Drosophila melanogaster: one gene and its partners. The protein of the gene in region 1 interacts with the protein of each later gene in a pairwise test. Each region holds a gene or a part of one and is shown in the gene's direction. Other genes may lie near its edges. The genes, in order: CG4496, CG11076, tj and Poxm.

What was found.
Region 2: the proteins of CG4496 (region 1) and CG11076 interact in a two-hybrid assay, tested with the Drosophila melanogaster proteins (one large-scale study listed by BioGRID).
Region 3: the proteins of CG4496 (region 1) and tj interact in a two-hybrid assay, tested with the Drosophila melanogaster proteins (one large-scale study listed by BioGRID).
Region 4: the proteins of CG4496 (region 1) and Poxm interact in a two-hybrid assay, tested with the Drosophila melanogaster proteins (one large-scale study listed by BioGRID).

Annotation. Positions count from the first base shown.
Region 1 is NT_033779.5:7,184,980-7,191,688, reverse strand, and holds CG4496 (uncharacterized protein), read left to right. Parts: upstream 1-1,678; 5' UTR 1,679-2,204; intron 2,205-3,620; exon of another isoform or gene 3,621-3,742; intron 3,743-4,047; 5' UTR 4,048-4,052; coding exon 4,053-4,857; intron 4,858-4,922; coding exon 4,923-5,860; 3' UTR 5,861-6,209; downstream 6,210-6,709. Other genes in the region: CG4497 (uncharacterized protein), read left to right, coding at 1-287; MICU1 (mitochondrial calcium uptake 1), read right to left, coding at 6,397-6,551, 6,615-6,709.
Region 2 is NC_004353.4:1,029,158-1,032,644, reverse strand, and holds CG11076 (uncharacterized protein), read left to right. Parts: upstream 1-1,669; 5' UTR 1,670-1,834; coding exon 1,835-2,674; 3' UTR 2,675-2,934; downstream 2,935-3,487. Other genes in the region: ATPsynbeta (ATP synthase, beta subunit), read right to left, coding at 692-755; mitochondrial inner membrane protein MPV17, read left to right, coding at 3,396-3,487.
Region 3 is NT_033779.5:19,462,513-19,468,289, forward strand, and holds tj (traffic jam), read left to right. Parts: upstream 1-1,754; 5' UTR 1,755-2,243; coding exon 2,244-3,779; coding exon of another isoform or gene 3,780-3,911; 3' UTR 3,912-5,246; downstream 5,247-5,777.
Region 4 is NT_033777.3:8,330,744-8,335,311, reverse strand, and holds the start of Poxm (Pox meso), read left to right. Parts: upstream 1-1,519; 5' UTR 1,520-2,187; coding exon 2,188-2,197; intron 2,198-4,568.

The DNA of each region.
Region 1 (6,709 bases):
TCAACGACCTGGTGGATGATGCCACTCTGATGGACGATGCCAAAAGTGAGACCTCATCGATCGGTGGATGCTCCACCATTAGCATAGAGTCATCCTCCTGCGATAGTGGTGCCAAGACGGCTGCCACTTTCCTGAATCGCCTGGTGGTTGATTCCGATGGCGGTGGTTCGCCGCTGGCCCAAAAGAGCTTCTACATTAACAAGCAGGGATTGTCGGGCGCCAAGAAGTTTGTGGTCAATCACGAGCGAACGGGAGCCGTCAGCAAAGATGTGCCGCAAAAGCTTTAAGAACATACACAGATTAACTTAGTTTAGGGGTCGATTTTAGGAAATTCTAAGAAATGCTTATAATCTCAGGAGCCAAAAGTTAATCATTGCTGCACTTTAGCTGATTTGTTTTGAATGCTTTAGAAAATATTTTCGAATAAAATTGCATAGCTTGATCATTTTTAAGTTCTAAAACTCAACCAAAGGTTTTGTTATAAAAACCACAAGCAATATTTTTTTAGAAAGAAAATTGAATTAAGAATACCTTTGGTGTAATATGTAAAGGATTAAAAATGGTTTAAAATGTATATTTCCCGTAGTGTTCAAAACAAATCTTCGTGGAAGAGACAAAAGATAAATTAGTGGTACTTTGATTTTTGTTTAAGAAAATCGACCCGAAATAACCAATTACACACACACGCTTAAGTTGAGAGTTTCAAAAGATCCTCCGACTTGCTTAACTTTAGATCGTAGCTTTGTTGTACATAGTTAAGTTGTTTGTCTGAAGTTCTAAACCATCTTGCATATCATTTAACGCTGCGCACTTCCCTTCACCCCTAGAATCAATCGGTTTTAATATGTTAGCCTAAGGTTCACTATACTATATATAGCCAGAGTTTATTGCCTCGATCTTTGTGTTATAGAATGTTTTCCCATTTCCAATGTTTCGGTTAATAATCGACGTACATTAGTTTTGTTTTTAGTCGCCACCTCACCCCTTAGATATTAGGAAGAAAACCCCAATTTTGCCAAATATGTTTATTCTATGCTTATGTGTAATAATATATCCAGCATTATATTGCCTATAATGTGATCCAATTTAGCGCGGATATCTGCGCGTATCCCACAAAAACCTTACTGATATAGTAACGCATATATTATATAGATTTACGATCCGATTCTAATTATCGTAAGCGAATTTACATAGTTTCAAGAAAAAAAGTTATACTTAAAAAGGATCCAAAAAGAAATACACATTTTTTCAATTGATCAAATTGTTTGTTTTCATTGGTTGGCTTAAACAATTAACTACTATATAAATAATTAAATAAATATGTTAACTAGATTATAAATAGCGACTTAAGTAAAAAGTATCTCGCGGGCAGTGAACTTGACCATATTTTATGTACATAAGATACTAAACCTAAAGCAAGAAAGTGCCTATTCAAAATGAGTATATTTCAGATAGAAAATGCACAATTCCTACGGCCATAGCATTCATTACTTTATAAATATTAAAAGCAGGTATAATTTATATTATTATATATACAACTTTTATGAGTATGCCTAGAATAACGTCGCCCAGCGTAATATCGTGCCAGCCACATGAAGCACCTGCAAGCTCGAGTAAGTATCCACATACACGATATGCACACACACGCACCGAAAAGTTCGAACACCTGGGTAATGAGAAGCCGAGCATTGCTCCCCAAATCCCCAATCCCCATTCGCAAACAGCGACATACTGGTTTCCCCACACAGATAGGACACAATGCACATGGCCAGATGCTCGTGCCTTGAACACGGACGAACCAATCCCGCAGACCAGAAGATAGAAGCCAGGGACCGAGACCGACCGAGACCGATAAACCAGGCCGTTTCCACACGGACCAAGTCGAGTGGGTGTCTGTGGACGTGTGAGGGGATCCGATACAAACGAGTTTTATAGCAAAAAAAAAAAAAAAAAAAAAACAACAAAATAAGATAACTAAGCGCTGCAGTCACGATCGCCAATATTTCGAGACCGAGAGACCAAAGCAATCGGGAGCCTAGCCCAAAGCATTCGAAGCGGATCTGGGAACCTGGCTCCATATATCACAGGGGCAGAACCCCACTACCCACGCCAATGGAATACAAATTAGAAGAAAACACGCTATCCTAGGCAGCCAAAAGTGACTCAAAAGTGATTATATAAGTCGGATGCGAAAAAATATAAAGGTGAGTTTGTCTCTTCCTGTTTAAATATGGTTAGTTATTTAGAATATGTATGTATGTATAAGATTATCTCTTAATTGCTGAATGCTTTAAATTTATTTAATTTTATTTGAATTTAATAATTATTTAAATCACAGGATGAAGGATGAGAAACATGTTTACGTTTTCAAAATCGAAAACTAGTCAAATTTGTCGTATATGGCTTATCGTAAAGGCTTATACTAAACAAAACGCGAATATTAGTAATTTTTCACCTGCAAGCCATTTTTTAACACTCCATAAAAAACGATCGCGGGTTTTCAGGCATTTATGGGCATTTTACCGAAGATCGCCCTGAAAATGGAAAATAACCAAAGAAGCGGCCAATAATTAAAGTCAATTACTTAGATATATGTACATATGTACGAAGGTACATATGTATATACTTGCATAAAAAGGAAACCAACAACAAAAAGCTAAAAATAAGAAGAAAAGCAAATGCGAATAAAAAAAGTTGAAGGCGCACGGTTTTACTTTAGCGCTGCTGCTCGGACGTCAATAAATTTTTTTTCGACGTCGACGTTGACGTTGACAGCGGCGTTGGCGCTGGCTACGCCGTTGTTGTTGCCTTTTACGCTTTGGTCACGCTGCTCCCTTTTCGTTGCTCCTCTACCCCCTCCCACCGCGCTCTCGCCATGCTTCCGTACTCCCACTCGCCCACTCTCTCGCCCACCTCCCCCTTGATATCACTCTCCAGCTCTCTTTTCGCCTCTCTGCACGGGCGTAAGCATTTGCGTCGAAGGGGGTTATTTGCCCCAACCACAATAAATACTTTAAATTTTTAATCCTACATTATCGTTCCTATTTAACAAAAAGCAAATTATCTTTTTTTTGGCATTTCATTGAAGATTAGATCGTTGTTATATACAAGTATATATAGTAAGGAATTCCTTTCACTCCTGGTAACCTCACCCCTTCTCATGTCCTGCCTACGCCCCTGCTCTTGTGAGCAATCTTGAAAATCGTGAGTTGTTGTTGCTGCTGCGCCTGTTGCTCCGGCTGTAATTGCATTGTTTTTGTTGTTGCCCTTGTTGTTGTTGTGGGGCATTTTCTTTGTTTTTCGTGTTTCGCTCTTGCGTGGCCCCAAGAAAAATCAAGTTAACACGCCAATGGGCAGTGGTGGGAAAGGGGGGCTAAAGGCTCACGTTCGTGCACACAAAAAAAAAGCCTTAAGCGCTGCCCACATGGTTGTTGTTGTTGTTGCTGCTGCTGCTCTGCTCGCTTCGCTGATTCACAAGCCGGGCAGCGCAGTCGGCGTCAACTCGAAGCTCGACTTTTGCGGCGTTTTGTTGTTTTTGCCGAGAGGTTGCTGCTCGGCAAGCCGCAAATCGCGAATCGCGAATCCAGTTTCTTCTTCACTTCTTCGCACGGCAGACGCAGCGCCGAGCGCACAAATTGCGGATAAAAAACGAAAGAAAGGAGCGAAGCTTTGTAAAGTGTGAGAGAGGGGTGTGTGTGCAATCGCAGAATTCATTCGATCGGAATCTCCTGGGTTATCAATGGTTCGTATGCGACTTGTCCAGGATATTAATATAAACCAATACAGGCTATTCAATGTGATCGATGGAAATGTAGTGCCCTATAATATATTCTTTTTTTATGGTTTGAGAGGTTTTATTGTGATTATTCGATACTAGAAAGTACGCTTCTTGGAAATACTGATAAGTGCCGATTTATCCATAGTAGAATGTGATTTATATAAAACACGCCTACATGTATGCAATGTTTTTTTCTGATAGTACAATGATAGTGCAATTCTTACGTTCCTTTCTTAAACTTTTCTAAATTGTTTATTGTAACATTGCAGATTTGATGGAGCTGGCTCTGAATAAACCATCATCCTGCGTGGACTGCTGCAAGGACTGCACTCTGCTGCCCTGCTGTTCTGCCTCCGCCTGCTGCGACGCTAGCTGCGACGCCGCCTGCGGGTTAATACCGCCCGATCCAGTCAGATATGAGTACCAGGAGCCCGAGGAGAACTTCATATCCATTGATGATGTGAAAATCAAGAGTTTCCTGTGGCAAATCGGCCAGCAGCAGAGGGAAAAGGAGTTGGAAATCAAAAGGATCATGGAACAAGAGAAAAGGGAGAAAAGAGAGAAGGAAAGGCGGGAGGCCGAAAAGCGAAGAGATCAAGAGGTAATCGAATTGGACGAGGAGGAGGCTCAATCTCCTCGGGGTCTCATAATCAGCGCAGCCAGGAGTCTAGCCCATTGGAATTCATCCATTAGGAGGGTAACACCAGATATCGAACTGATTCCCAGACGGGTGCACAGGGTTGTCGCAGAAATCGAACTGAGTGATAGTGATCACGATGAAGATAGTGAAGTAGATGAGGATGTAAGTCTTCCATCAAACGCTGTAAGCTGCGTCCTGAATGAGCAGAGACAGGATGGAAGCCAGAATCCACAGGAACTGGTGATCATCGTGCCCTCCGACCAGGAGGACGAACAGAAGACAGACAATGTCATCAAGAGGAAATCTTCTGGGTCGAGGAGATTAGTAAAGAGGCGTCCAGGTGCCAACAGAAGGGGAAGGCATATGTACGAATGTCCTGACTGCGGGAAGAAAGTGCAATCTAATTACAATCTAAGACGTCATATGATGATCCACACAGGTACGAAACTTCGCATAAAATATTCAAATACCTCCACTTATCACTTTCTACTAAATTTTCCCCAGGTGAAAGACCATTCCCTTGTGATCTGTGCGAGCGACGTTTTCGGGAATTCAGCGATCTTAAAAAGCATCGTCGAAGGCACTCACACGATCCACAATTCATTTGCATGATCTGTCACTTGGGAGCACCTTTGGAGCAGGACTCTACAAGGTGTGCGGATTGTGAAAGCAAGAATCTTATGGTAAAACCTCAACCAGAGGAACTGGGCGAAAAAACAACGGAGGAACATTCGGATGAGATGGAAGGGGATGATGACGAAATAGAGGAAGCGGCTCTAGAAAATGAGAAGCAGCCACAAGTGGCAACACAACCCAGTTTAATGGTTACTTTAATACCACCTATTCAATCTCCACCGGAAAAAGTTCCTTCACACACGCAGCCAAGTCGCCCGCCACTTCCTCGCAGCTGCAGCAGTGCCAACTCCTCATCTTCCTTGAGCAACGATGGAAATATAGCTGGAAAGTCCATGAGTCGCACTCGCAGATCTTATCCGTGTCCTTTGTGTCATCGTCCTTTCGGAACTCGTCATAATCTTAAACGCCACTATATGATCCATACTGGCGAGAAACCATTTAGCTGCTCAAAATGCAGGAAACCCTTCAGGGAGTGCTCCACGCTCAAGAAACACATGGTCACCCATGTCAGGGATCGCTGGTACAAGTGCCTGAGGTGTCCCTCCAAATTCAGGGACTATCTGGAGTACTCGGATCACAAGAACAATCATCAGGATCAGCTGAGTAGCCGCAAGTCGTCCATTTACGAGAGTGACGACGATGGCGACAGTTCTGTGGAAGATTGCCTAGAGTGCTGCGAGTGTCAGCAACGATTCACCGAGTTGGATGCTTATACGGCCCATCTTAAAAAGCACGACTTGGAGTTGTACGGGATGAGCATTGATGATGTGGCGGACGAGGAGCAGGATGACGTAGATGTGGCATAGAAAATGTTTTGAGCCCACAATTAATATTAACTGCGCGAGAGTTGTAAACTCTTGGTCATTCTTTTTAATGCATAAAGAGGATTGAAAATCCCATATTTCATATAAATTAGCTATTAAGGATCATTAAAACATTCCTTATTAATATATTCATATCTTTTTAAAGTGTTTTATATCACTATTAATTTATTCATTCATATTCTTTTTTAAGCACTTATAATACACTTTTGAAATGTAAAATGTAACGTGCGCCATAATCCAAGAACTGAATGATGAGCTACAGCAAAAATTCCTAAAGATGTACTTATTTATAAATATAATATTTTTATTAAAAAATAAACGAGTTAAGTGCACAAGAGACGGTGAAATATACAGAAGACAGTCGTCAACCTGCCGGGGGTCGAACAATTACAAAGATTGAGCTAAAATCGATTGATGTAAACGTTAACTACAAAAATAAATAGTAAAAAGCGTAAGCGTAGGAAAAAGTGACTAAGATTGGGGCGCTTGAAGCGGGAGAATCCACATAGTGACGATCTTTAGATGTCCAGCAGCACAGGCTTGGTTTCCTTGGCGCACTTGAACACCGATCGCATCATCTTTAGGAATCCTGTGTCTTTGGGTTTCTCCAATCCGCGCTGCACGCGATTCTTCATTACCGAAATAAATTCCTTGTTGCTGAGTTGGTTGTCATCTGAAAGAGGTTTGCCGAATGAATTAAGATTGTTATTCTAATTACACTCAATTACGAACTTACTATTCTCATCAAAGATGGTAAAGACCACATCCACCACATGATCCGAAAGATTGACCATGGCCACCGTTTTGGCCACATGTTGCAATGTTTGTTGG
Region 2 (3,487 bases), on another chromosome or scaffold:
GTTTGCTAATTTATATTGCCAGCGTATGAAAAGGTTTTCTTAATACCCCATATGTAAAGCTAATTGGTATCATTTTTTAATAAAAAGTACTATCAGTTTATTGATTTTCCTATCACTAGATACCAATATATACAGATTTATGTTATACTTAACGAAAGTGATACTAGTAGAATACATCATCGTAAAACTTAAACAGTAACAATTTGGGCATCAATATCGACAATTTTTAATATTATTTTTTAAGATAATGATGAACAATTAATATTATACTATTAATTATTAATTTAATTTTTAAGTAACTTTAATTTTCAAAATACTTTGTGAAGAATTCAATTGCAATATAACGAAAAAAAAATTTATTCAATTTAAAACGTCAAACAATATCGGCATACAATATATGTACATACCTAGTTAACTTACAGAAAGACGTACACGCAAATGTCTGACTAAAAAAATCTTTTTTTTTTTCAAAAGTCGTTTAAATTGAGTACTGTTATATATGTTATAAAACAGAAGTAACCTTAAATCATTCAAAATTGTTATGTAATATTTTTTTTCGCTCGTAACATTTTATTGAACGATAGGTTATGTTCGACAATTGCGCTATTAGCCAAAGCACATATTTTGTGCTGAACTTCGCAATTTAATACAATTGTTATCAATTAAAAATTTTTATTTTTGTGCTACTTACACAATTGCCCCAAGAATGGCAGCAAATTCTTATCGGCTTTAGATGCAGCACGTAACGCGAACATTTTTCTCGAACTAACTGAGAAGTGTGCGGGCGAGCAGAAGTCCTAGTGATGAGCAAATCGGTAGTCGCGATATATTGAGTATTTACGCTTCCAAAACATATCGAGGTTTTAGTATTTTTGCGTATTCAGACCATAATGTGGACTTACGTTGTTGTTACCGCACCAGGAGAGTGTCCGAATGCCACTTTTATATATACACAATGAACTGTAACTGTTGTGGTTGCCCGACACTAACGACTGATACACCCATGAAAAGGTGGTTTAATGGATTGCAAGCTGATGTGGCTGAGTAGAGGTAACTGCACCAACAAAAATAAGTAAAACAAGAGAGAACGCAAGTACGCAAGAGAAATTTAAATTATTTTATGGCTTATGGATAGAATTTGGAAAATATATGACAAAAAATGATATTAATAGTGGTAGGCGTGACAGTTTTGGGCGGCGTGTGGGCAATAGATTGTGCGTTGCAGCATCGATGAAAAAACTTGCCCTGATTCTTCGTCTCTGGAATGTTAAGTCTCAACTTGTTAAATCACTATCTAGCTTTCGTAGTTCCTGTGATCTCGACATACAGAGGGACATGTGTAGATCGACTCGGCTGGTGATCCTGATATGAAGATGATGAAGAAGATATGGTTGAAAAAGCGAGTAAACAATTCTTAGTCAGTCTGATTGGCAATTAATTTTTGTTTAAAAGATATCAAAAGCAAACAAAATTTTTCGATATTTGTCTTAATACAATTTTTGTCGGCTTGTCTGCCTGAAGAAAAGCGTTATTTTAAAACCTAAAAAATAAATTTGTTTATGTTAAACTGGTTGGTATGGGAAACTTAGGGTTTATTACTTTTGCTAAGCCCTTCCATTTTAGCGAGAAACAGCTATAAACATTTCCTTCCTACCCATCGCTAAAATCTAATAGTTTATCTAGGTTAGGGGTGTTTACGCTTACAAACACATAACTACAATATTTACTCCTTCAAATCATTTTAAGTTATCGATGCATCGATATTTCCCTTGTATTTTTCCACCTGTACCACGTGTGGTCATTTTCTGCAATACATTGATTTCCCCAACGCTCAATGAAAATAAGTAAAAAACTCTTTTCCCGCCAGGAGGAAAAACCTCGGAGCCAATTTCTGGAGGAGGAACAGTACGTGAACCTGACCTCAGGCGCGGCTGCTCGTGAGTGCTGCGGGGATGCTCTTTGGGATTTCGATGGTCAGACCGACGAAGCCTGGCTGGTCCAGTGTCCCAAGGGTGCAGATCCACATCTGCTAGTCGGCAAGCGCATTAGGCTTCCTGGCAGGAAGAGCGTGGGCGATCTCCAGGTTCGTGCCGTCAAAAACTCGACGTTACAGAGCGAGGCACTGGGCTATTTGAGATCTATGGGTCCCTATGCCCTCCGGAAAATTCCCTTTGTCGGCTATGTGGTAATCAGCAAGCGTCTATATGATAAACAACCGCTACCAGGTCAGAAGGAACATACAATTCAAGCTGATCTAACGCTACCCAAGTACCTATTACGAGAACGACATCCGTTGTTCGGGCGCAGCTACAAGCAACGCATCCAATTACCGAAGATGATTTCCACATCTCTTAGTCAAGCAGACGAGAAATTCTTGGAAGCTACTGCCAAGCTTCGCAGCACTGCTAACTACTACAAGATCCGGAGCAAGCTGCACACCACCACACAGACGCTAGAACAAAAAGAGGACGATGTGCGACAGTCGGTGCTTACCGGTCGTACGCCGCAGTTCATGAAGGAAACAATAATCCCGGATCTATATAAAGATCTCTTAGACGAAGAGGACATCGAGAAAAATATAATGAACCCAGCAGAGGAAGTTGGTCCTGCCAAAATGCGCAAGAAAAAATTTAATTCAAACGGTCACAAAACGGGAAATGCAGTAGGGAAATAGACAAAAGAAGCTTAAATTAAATGAAAGCAACGGCCGCTAATGACCTGGACGAAGTAATTGCACAAGAAGGCTTAAAAAAGTCGAATGGAAACCATTAAGAATTAGAGTTTACTTAAGATAAATTCACATACTTACGTAATTAAATAAAAATATGTAACGATTTGGATTATAGATTATCACATATAAGCTGCATAAATTAATGTAGTCATTTAATAACGAAATAAAATTGCACTTTGTCAAGGCGTGTTCACAGCACTATGAACAGCTGACGTTAATATCAGTACCTTAATAGTTGCGGAGAAAGAGCGGTGGTTAAAGTTAAGATTTATATTTAAAAGAATATTAAGAATACGCGTTGCGCATGTTCCGAAAGAGATTTCTGTGCTAAAACAGTTCGATACTTAAAACGTTTAAGTTATTTTACATTACATTACATTAAATTGCATATTGAACGCAATTTAACGTTTTCTCATTCGGCATGTAACAATTAAAAGGACTCACGCGCGTTAAAAAGTTGAATACGCTAGCATAATTTAATTTAAATAATTATTCAGAGTTGCCAATTTTTGTCACTTCAGCAATTGACACCAATCACTTTGCGATTATTAGGCAACCCTTTAAAACTACACGAACAACAGCAAATCGATTTCTCAGTTGTGTTTTAATTGCGTATTTAAAACAATTTGGATCGGGCTATGAATGGAACTGATCTCTGATAAGGATGAAGAGACTTAAAGCGTACCTAAAGGATGGCATCAATGTGGCGGCGGTAATGTGTCTGGGCGATACTATATCCCAGTTCTTTTTTGATAA
Region 3 (5,777 bases), about 12 Mb from region 1:
ATATTACATCAGAGCAATCTGTTTGGCCAGCGAAGACAAAACATTTGCTCAAAACAAAAAGTCAGAAAAAAGGGGTTCAAATTAAAGTAAAACAAGAGCGCCCCGTGTCCAAGTTGGGCCGTCGGAGGCTCCTAAGTTCTGTACTCCGTTTCCGCTGGATCAGCATAAAAATGCACCTGTGCACCATGGAATCCTTTGGCCCAAGCAAACACACACATGCCCATGGAGTGGGCAGTGTATTATATACGAGCCAAAACAAATCGAGCGACTTATCTCGGCTAAAACATCTCCCATTGACTTATGCACTGGAAAATGGAACAGTGGACGTGGATGTGGACGTGGATATGGATGTGCCTGTGCTTGTGCGACCCACTCCTGCATATACTTTCCTATGTGGATATACATATGTATGTATGTACATATGGGCACATCCATCTCCACCTCCATCACCGACTTCGTGTGGATGGCCAGCCAAATGAGACTGGAAGTCGGCAAATGGGGCTATGCGGGAATTTCCGTGGTAGTTGCTCATAAATATTCAGACACCAACACACTCGCAGATGGGGAGAGCCACACCGACACACACACGCGCACACAGTGGCAAAGTGGGCGGAGTCGACGACAGCATAAAGTGTGTCTGTGTGTCTATGTGTGCCATTTTTTATGCGCTCCATGGCAATTCAAAAACGCAAACAATAAACCGAGCAGCAGAGCAGCCACACCAACGGTTCCATTCCACCACCAACAAAGTGAAATCCCAGAGCATAGATTTGTGCTCTTGCACAGTGGTCGAGGTATTGGGTATCAAGGGCTTACTGAAACATTACTTACGTGCTACATGTTCCGAAATTTAAACATTAAATAGCTCATCAGTATATATAAAATTTAATAATGTATATAGTATATAATAATGTATATAGCATAATGCATAAAATATGTTTTTCCATGTCCAATTATAAGGCAATGCAGTCAATTTTCTGGCTTGTTAAGTCGCTTTTTTAGACTGTTAACAACATCAACATATTTGTTATTGGTGAAGTAATGTTCTTTGACCAGAATGATTGTTAGTCAAGGGAAGCGATTTTAGCTAAGAATTGATTGAATTTCCACGAAAAGGTCTAAATTTCTTTAAAATACTTAAAAAAGAACGTGAAATTAATAGAATTTTGTATAGATATTCAAGTGTTGTAACATTTAAAGCAGATCAAAATATAATCGCTTTTTCAAAGTTCAAAGTTAGTCCTTTAGCTATAAAATATTGTATTTGATTTAGACAACTTAAACTTGTCAAAATGTACGAATGAAATTATTTTATATTTGCAATTTTTTATCCCACTGTGCAGTGCATCGAATCTACGAAGCTTTCCCGGCTTGACTTTTGTTGTTGTTGTGCGCGAGAGCAGCAGCTGCCGGCAAAAGCACAAACAACAACTACAACTACAACGAAAGGCACTCTCTCTCTCTTGCGGACAAGTGCCTCCCCGCCCTTTCGCCTCTTTCCTTCCTCTAGAACCGTCATTTCCACGTTTCCAACAGGAGTTCCCTCGCACCAAAAGCAAAAGCATCAGCGAATGGCGTTCGAGCTCGGTTTTGTTTGTTGTTGGGCTGGTCGGCTTTTTGGTTTTGGCAAGTCGTTTTGTTTGTCGGCTGTTGGGAAAAGGAATGGGTGTGTGTGTGTGGGTGTGCGCGCGCTGCGCTGCCATTCTAACAGTTATCATCAAGGGAACAGAGCATCCAGAGCAGAGCTTCCAGAGCAGAGCCACCCTCCAGTCAGATTCAGTCCGACCTTAGTTGAAACGGACACGGAGTTCAGTCGCCACCGTTAACTCTTTCACATTGGACGCGAAAAGCGCGTTCGCGAAATTAGTGAGCAAAATTGGAAAGAGAGCGAGCTTACAAATGAATTAAGCGCCAAAGTGCGGATAGTGATCGCTTTAATAAAAGCATACTTACATTTTAAATCATAAATAAGCAATCCAATCTTTTACAACGAAATCTAAGAAACCGGCATCGAAGTAAATATCTAACAGATTCTGGGGTAACCCCAAAAAAAAACGTAACCTAAATCCTGAGATCAAGATAAAACTTAGCCGCAGGCCGAAAGCGCCAGTGCCTGGTTCCGTGACCCCCGATCGCGTAGTTGACCTTTGAAACCACCCACTAACCACCACCCACCAATCAGCACGGTCACTCCCTTGCATGTGAGACCCGTAATCGACCCTCTCCGGTCCCTGGTCGATCCAATGAAAATGGAAGATCCCACCATAAACGACACGTACGTTCAGGAGTTTGATCTGCACCACCTGGAGGTGGGCGGAAATGGAGCTGGCCAATCGCATGGAGCCGGTGCCGCGTCCCAGGTCACGACTTTGGGCCATGTGAAGCGCGAGGATCACAGTCCACCGCAGCCGGTGGCGGTTAAATGGACGACAATCCACGGCGATCCCACGAATCCGGACGATGACCCGGACTCGCTGCCGCTGTCCGGACCAGAGCCCGCCGGAGCAGTGGAGGTCTCGCCATCGCCGCACATCAAGCTGAGGTCCTTCTCCGGCCATCACCAGTGGCACATGGACGAACGGCGCCTGCAACCGCTCTCTCCGCCACCAGAGCAGTATGGTCCGCTGCCCGGACAGGCGATTCTGGTGAACACATCTTCGGGAGCGGGCGTTCCGGGCGGAGTGCCCTCAACGCCGCCGGAAACGCCACCAGTAGTGGGCTCGCCCACGGGCAGCAGCAGCTGTCCGGCTCAGACTTACGCACACCACTATGCGAGGACACCGGGCAGCTCCGTATCCGTATCCGCCTCCGCCGCCGCCGCAGCTGCTGCCTCCGCCGGAGCAGCATCGGTGAGTGCCGGACTGAGCCATGACATGATGTGGCTGACCAACTCGATACGGGCGGACCAGCAGCCGCTGGATCTGCGGCCTTTGCCCTATCCGGGCTCCCAGGAGGAGGCGGAGGAGTGGGACAGACAGCGGGACTACGCCCTGCAGGCGGCGGCAGCTCATCACCACCATCACGGACAGCCGCTGATGCAGGCGCAGCATCATCCGCATGGACACGGCGGTCATCCCCACCAGGTGATGCTGCAGCAGAGCAAGTATCCGCACCACCATCACCACCACTTCCACAATCTGGAACTGACGCCCATCAACATGCACTCGAACTCGTACGGTAGTGCTTCGGGTGCCCTGACGCCCACCTGTCTGCCCCAAGTGCCCAGCAACGGGAGTGGCAGCAGCGGAGGCGGAGGAGGCAGTGGAAGCGGGAGTGGTGGACCCGGCAGCGTGGGTGGCGGCTCCTGCGTCATCACACGGGCTGCCCTTCAGCCGTGCCGCCCGCTCTCCGCCAGCTCGACCAGATCCTCGAACAACATGTCGCCCAGAACCTGTTCGGGTGCCTACAGTAATGCCACGCTGGAGGATTGCCTCAATGACGACATGCTGACCACGTTGACGGTGCGGGAGCTGAACAAGCGGCTCCATGGTTGCCCACGGGAGGAGGTAGTGCGTCTGAAGCAGAAGCGACGCACCCTGAAGAATCGCGGCTATGCCCAGAACTGCCGGTCCAAGCGACTCCATCAGCGCCACGAACTGGAGAAGGCCAACCGGGTGCTCAACCAGGATCTGCACCGCCTGAAGCTGGAGTACTCGAGGGTCTGCCAGGAGCGGGATGCCCTCATGCAGCGTCTGCAGCGGGCGGCAAATGGCGGAGTCGGTGCGGGAGGTGCAACCGCCGGCGGCGATAGCCAAAGCTCTCCGGAATTCTACCTCTGACGCCAGCTGGCGGTGGCCAGCGGCTCCTCCGCATCCTCATCCTCCTCCTCGCAGCAGCAGCAGCAGCACCCCCAGCAACTTCATCTCCAGCATCGGGGTCCACAGTGGAATCCCCAGCAGCTGGTCAACTAAGTAGAGAGCGTTCCGTGTTTAAGGTACTTTCACAAAGAGTTGATCATTTCCAAGAGCTTTTCCTAGACACAATGTATAAGGTAAATTGGTTTGATTCCAAGAATGTTTTCCAAATAGTCTCCACTCGAAAGAACATGTTTTCCAAAAAGAGTTTGTTAAAGCGTTTCCAAGGGGTTAGATGTCAGAATTCAAATTCTGTTTGTTATACATTCAAAATGATTTGTGTTATACCACGCGTTATTGTAAGTTTGTCCCTATTTTTGTGTATTCTTAAAAATAATTTAGTAACTAGGTTGGATTTTCAAGAGAAGTGCATTCCCATTACCACCACTGTTGATATTTATTCCCTCATTAATTTAAAAACATTTCCATTTAATCAATAATGCTGAAAAATTAGGCGGTTTCCGCAGAATTCTGTTTAGCTATGTTACTATGAAATTTATTAAAGGGGTTTTTAAGCGTTTAATTTGCCATTATTCTGATTGCGACAATAAATTCCGATGAATATCAGTTTGAGAACTTGGAAAGTGATCGACAGAGATTGAGATAGATGAGATAGAAAGTAAAGTGCGAGAGAGAGAGAGAGAGCGTGTTTGGATGGAACTTTTGCTGATTATCAGTTTGACTAAGGCAAAGATCGATTATAAATAAAACTAATTGGAACTCGTATGTATAAAGGACAAACATTGTATAAACCCAAGGAACAAAAACAAAAAGGTAAATTAACTAGCGGCTTCTGATTATCAATCGCTAAATTATTACAAAGTACGAGTTAGTAACACACGCTTATTTGTTGATTAGTTCTAGCCTTAGTTTCCCTACTAGTATTAAGCGAAACAGAAGCGAATTATAATATCATAGATGCGATAGTTGTTCTAGAGGCCGTGCTTCCCCTGCCGTTTCCGTTTTAGCCACACCGCCCGCAAAAATTCCAATCCTTCAGTAGCAATACATCTAATAAAACTAAAGGTTGTATTAAGTTAAAACACCGCAAGCTGGAAGAACCGATGTATAAAGTGAAACTGGATCGAAGCGAAGAACAAACTCAACTGAAGTAAACTAACAAACTAACAAAGTCCTATACAATTTAATGAGCACTGAAAATGATGATCGAAAATAATGTACATACACCCACACACTTACGTATAAAGATGAAAAGATGTAAATTTAAGATTTTTTGAATGCATTCAGATTTCTGTCTTTGTGGAACTAGAAGAAACACACGCGAATACTGAGCCGGAAAATTAAAGATTAATTACAAACTAAAAACAATTGTGAGTAGTTGATAAGTGTGCATAAAACAATTTAGTAATAAATAAATCTAAATTAATGAATAATCCTATGTGCGTTCTTTCTTGGGCGCTTCCCTGCCAGCCAAAAGGTTTGCAATCTAACTAGTAAACGTTAGATTTCAGTTTCAGTGCAACTGTAAACATTGATACGGATTAAAAGATTCATTGAATGCTCATGAACTGAGAGTTACGTTCGTTTCTTTGGATGCTTGATAGTTTAAACATTGAAGATCGTAAAAATATAGAATGCTCAGTTTTTCATAGTATTCAAATTGTATTCTATTTTGTCCCCATGCCACATTCATATTCATATCTGGGTTTTAGAAACCACCGAGTGGGTCTCAGCTTGCATCATAGATTTTGGGTTTCATCTCGCCGTTTTCCGAGAAGTGGCATCTTCTGTGTGGTCTGTCGGCATGGATAAATGGGCTTCCAGCGACGACGACCCCCGCGGGCAACAGTTTAAGAATCAAAATAAACACTTCGATCCCGATCCCTCTGGACTTCGATAAGTTATGTCAACAAACTTCGGTCGCGTAACGGCGCATGCAGGAGCTCTGGAGTAGTAGGAGCT
Region 4 (4,568 bases), on another chromosome or scaffold:
TTGTTTTAAAACAAAGGCAATGTCGGAAATGGCGTTCGTCAAACCACAAAATGCAGGGAAATGCAGTCGGCAATGAGCAGAAATCAGAAAGTGACAGGGAGAGGGCCAATTGGATTCGCAACAAAAGGTATGAGCAGGTAAGCGTAAGCCAACTCAAGGAGGTGTGTCCAACGCGCAACAGTGTGTGTGGGCCAAAACACACACACACGCGCACTAAGTGCACACACAGCCATGCTAAACAGCCAGCGAAGAGAGCGAGCACAACATTAAGAATAGCAAGAGCGGCGATTTGACCATTTTAATGAGGGAATGACAACGACAATTGGCATCTATCATTAAATGGCGGTATTCAGAATTAGTGACAATCAGATGAAGACGGCATTTCTTATAATTAACTCTAACCAAGCAAGACGCAACGCCTCAGCGAGAGTTGGCATCACGCATACGCCGCATTGGCCGGGAGGTGGATCCCTGGGGATCTACGGGGTTAGCTGTCTGTGCCGCTTTATTAGCGATATGGCTTTCTTAATGAACCAAAAATAGATGCACGCGCTCCGAGAATTCCCACAGCCCCGCCCCTTTCCTTTTCCTTCCGTTTCTCTCCTTCTATCCTTCTCCCTCGGCTCCTTTTTCGTCTGCTCCTCATCTGTGTGACACTAAGAAGTCATGACATCGCTCGCCCACCCTGCGTAACGCTACGGATACGCTTACTTGCTTCAGATTGGCCATTCAAGCATTCAGAAATTAACTCCGCCCGGTTGCGTATGCTCACTCACTCGGTTCGGTTCGTCTGTGTAGGTATTGCAGCGGAGAGAGAGCGAGAGTACGAATTCCGATCCATGGATACACCCACACATCCGTTGGCACACAAACACAAAGTTGAGCGACTACAGGAGCGGTAACTGGGGAAAAAAGGAGAGATGGGTTGTTAGCTTAGTTTATTATCCATCAGCAAGAAAACGGAAATATGTTATGATAAATAATAAAAAAATTGTATAGATTATTGTGTATAACTTGATGTAATAAAGTCTTAAAAACCTTCTTCTAAACTTCTGAATTCGATCTCTTTATTAAAATATTTAATTTATATGAACCCTTTACTTTAAACACTTACAAGATATTTCGATACCAAAGTTACTGGCGCCTTAACTCTTCTGGGCTTACCCTCAATTCGCTGCCTGCGCTCCTGATCGCTGAAAGACATTCTTCATTTTTATTATTTGCCCGCGGTCCACCAACAAACGCACACCAGTGCGCGATCATCGCCATTAAAACCCACATATACGCTCGACCGACCGCCCCTTCCTCTCACGGATGAGTGTGTGTGTGCTTGCGGAGGAGAATGCGGAGAGTGAGAAAAAGAGAGAGCGAGATCTTGGGATGCTGCGTCGACGCGGTGGCTTCCACTTCCACTTGAGCCTGTAGATGTGGATGTGACTGTGGCTGTGGTGGTGATATTCAATGTGTGCGTGGACGTGGATTGTGGGCGATCTTGATCGGCAGCGCCGCGGGCAGCGTTAGTCGCAGCAGACACGGGTGACGAGCAGCAACGATCGTTTTTGGAGAGCGCGCCAGGTTTTCCCGATCCAAACCGTTCCCAACCGATACGCTACGACCCGATACGCTAGAGCAAAAAGGCCATCGAAAGATTTAAAGGCGCGCGCACGGATCAGTGAATGCTGTTTAAATCGGTTCATTTGCAAACCATCAATCGCACGGGAGGTCCGCCAGTCAAGTCCAAAGTAAACCGACATAATTCCCAAAATCAAAGCATAACAAACCCATTGTAGTGTCATTAAGTGTGTGTAGTTCCCGCTTCCCCAATAAGGTGTGATAAGTGCGTGATAATTTTCGAGCCAACCTACTCGAGAGCGATCGTTTTGGCCCGAAAATGTGCTAATCAGATCTCAGTCTTGGTTCACGGCATAGTAGGCATCGCAGCCCGATGCTGTCCCGCACAACTGGCGCCAATTTGTATACAAATTTCATGCCTTAATTGAAACTCACATTATAGCCAAGTGCGAAAAGTTAACGACTAGGTAACCACCGACAATCCCCAGCAAAGCAGAGTCCAACTATTCCGGCGAATCCAATCGGAGAAAGTTCCACGGCGGAGTTGGCGAAAGGCAGATTTGGGTGCCCACAATTGCAATTCTGGAGTTCTTCAATCAATTGCCATCGGCCGAAATGGACCCAGGTATGTCTCAATCCATGACTCACAAAGATATAGGCCTCAGAATTCATTTCCAAATTAAAATTTTTAGATCTATCGGCATTTTTGAGGTGCCGACGGCATTGGGTTTCTTTAAAAAGCGTAGTAGCTATTTTATTGATAGATTTGGGTTAATATAATCAGAAAAACAAGAATATGTATATTGCAGGAAATATTGATAAGACTTTTGAAATCACATTTCCCTCTCTATCTTAAAATATAAGGTAACGAAAAGACAAATTCAAAAGTAGCACTATATTTTCACTTAAATCTCTTAACTTAAGCCCGCCACTCGAGTGTTTTGCCAATAAAGCCCTCTTGTCCGATCCTCCAGCCAAGTCCTTATCCGGATCCCCTAACTGCTTGGGATAAACACAATCGCTCGCTGGACCAACTTCTTTTTTTTTTTTTTTTTTTTTTTGGGCAACATCAAGAGGCAGATGTTTGCTTTTGATTTTCGTTTCAAAAGGCTGCCGTCGCTTGGCGCATGATCGACAGCCTCGCGGTAGCCGCGGCACTTGTTTGACTTTCGATGATGTCGCCGACGTCCGCACACGTACCCGATTCCAAAACCCAAAACCCTAAACCGAAAATCCAAAACCCATAACCCCAATCCCAATCCCAAACTCCGGAGCCAAGGCTCCTAATTTAACTAATGATCGTTGTAATGTTTCTGCCTTTGTCGTGCGGTCTTCACTTTTGGCTCCAAGTGTCCGTGTCTCTGTTTGTCCATGTGCTTTGGGCCAAAAGCAAAATGCGAGTGCAAGACATGGCCTTATGGCCGAAAACTACGCTACACAAGTGTGTAAAGATTTGATCAGTTCTCTCAGTTGTTGACAAACATGTGCGCAATCGAATAATTTGGCATGCGTCGATTTACTTTTACAAATTTCGAATTGCTTAGATCATCTTTTGAAATAATTTGCCAATAGTTTTCAATTTCTATGAGTGACATACAAGTGTGACTGACTATGGGTAATCTTTTATAATGGTATTCCCCACTTAGTTTCAAGTATTTATTTGTTTGCTTGAGCCTCTTTATGGCAAAGTATCAAAAGGACATACACGAATATATATTTTTCCACTTGTCCGAGCTGAAAAGAAGTTATAAGTCGGCTAGGAGGTCCCGCACTTTTGGTCCATTAATGACATGCTTTCGATGTTTTGACATTCTGTTTGTACGCCAGCATTGTTTGCTCACTAGGAGACGTCGAAAAAGATATAGACGCCGATGCAGACCCATGCTCATGCCCGAACCCAAACCAAAACCCAGACTCTGGACCAGAGGTGCAGAAATGCGTGACTAACGGCCACCGGTAGCCATCTACTTCGGTAGCTAAACATGAAAAGCCCACCAGACGCGGGCCGCAAGTGCAAGATGTTAAAATCACAGAAGGGGCAGTAAAACAAAAGGCGCAGACGATGGCCACGAAAGGCAGGCAAACACTTGAGATCCGAGGAGGAAAACGTCGCGTCAATGTGTACATGCCTTAATGGAAGAGTCTATATGGTATGGGAGTAGGTGCCCAGGAGCAGCGACTGCGGGAGGATGCGGCGGGGACTGATCTGAAAGCCCGACCAGTAGCTTCCTCCCGTGGATACCGATGATTGCGGTTCGGGTTTGGGAAAACGCTTCACTGCCTCGGCTTGATTGTGTGGCGTCGTTTCCCCTGAGTTCTTTAATTAAATCACATCCCCGACCGCTGATGCGGAACATTCATTAAGCGCATTTGCAGTCATTTTGGGCATTGCTCGGCGAGCTTAAAAAAGTTGCACTAAATAGGCTTTGAGTATAATTAAAACCTCCAAAACCCTTTGCATTTTATCCTTTGAATAGTATGTTCTACTTTTTGTTGTAATATGCTAGGTTTCTCACTGTAGATCAGTTGACATTTGCTCCCTTTGGGCGTGGACATCTCCCCATGGATCCACAACCTCTGACATCTGACAAGTGTAGTTCATGTTCTTGGAAGCAAACTCAGCTCATTACCATATATTTAATGAGTTTCTAATCGTTAGGGGGCACGTGTTTGAGCCAGTTCATTCTGGGATAATGAATGCGATCGCATCAATAAGCGGGCGGCTAACATCTGGTTCTAACCCCTAACCCCTAGACTCTAACCCCTTGAGATGGCCTGTGTCAAGTCCCATGGGGGCGATGGCGACCCAAAACCGGAACTGCCACAATCATTCCAAACTCCATTTCTCAGTCTCGAATTTGGAGTCCTAGGATCAGAGCTGTGAAACTGGCTATTTTCCAGCTAGCTCTAGAAGTTCATTTCATACAATAAAATGATATGAAATTATGTAGCTAAAGGAAATTAAAGGGTTTGTTGTTAAAAGATAGTTTACCGCT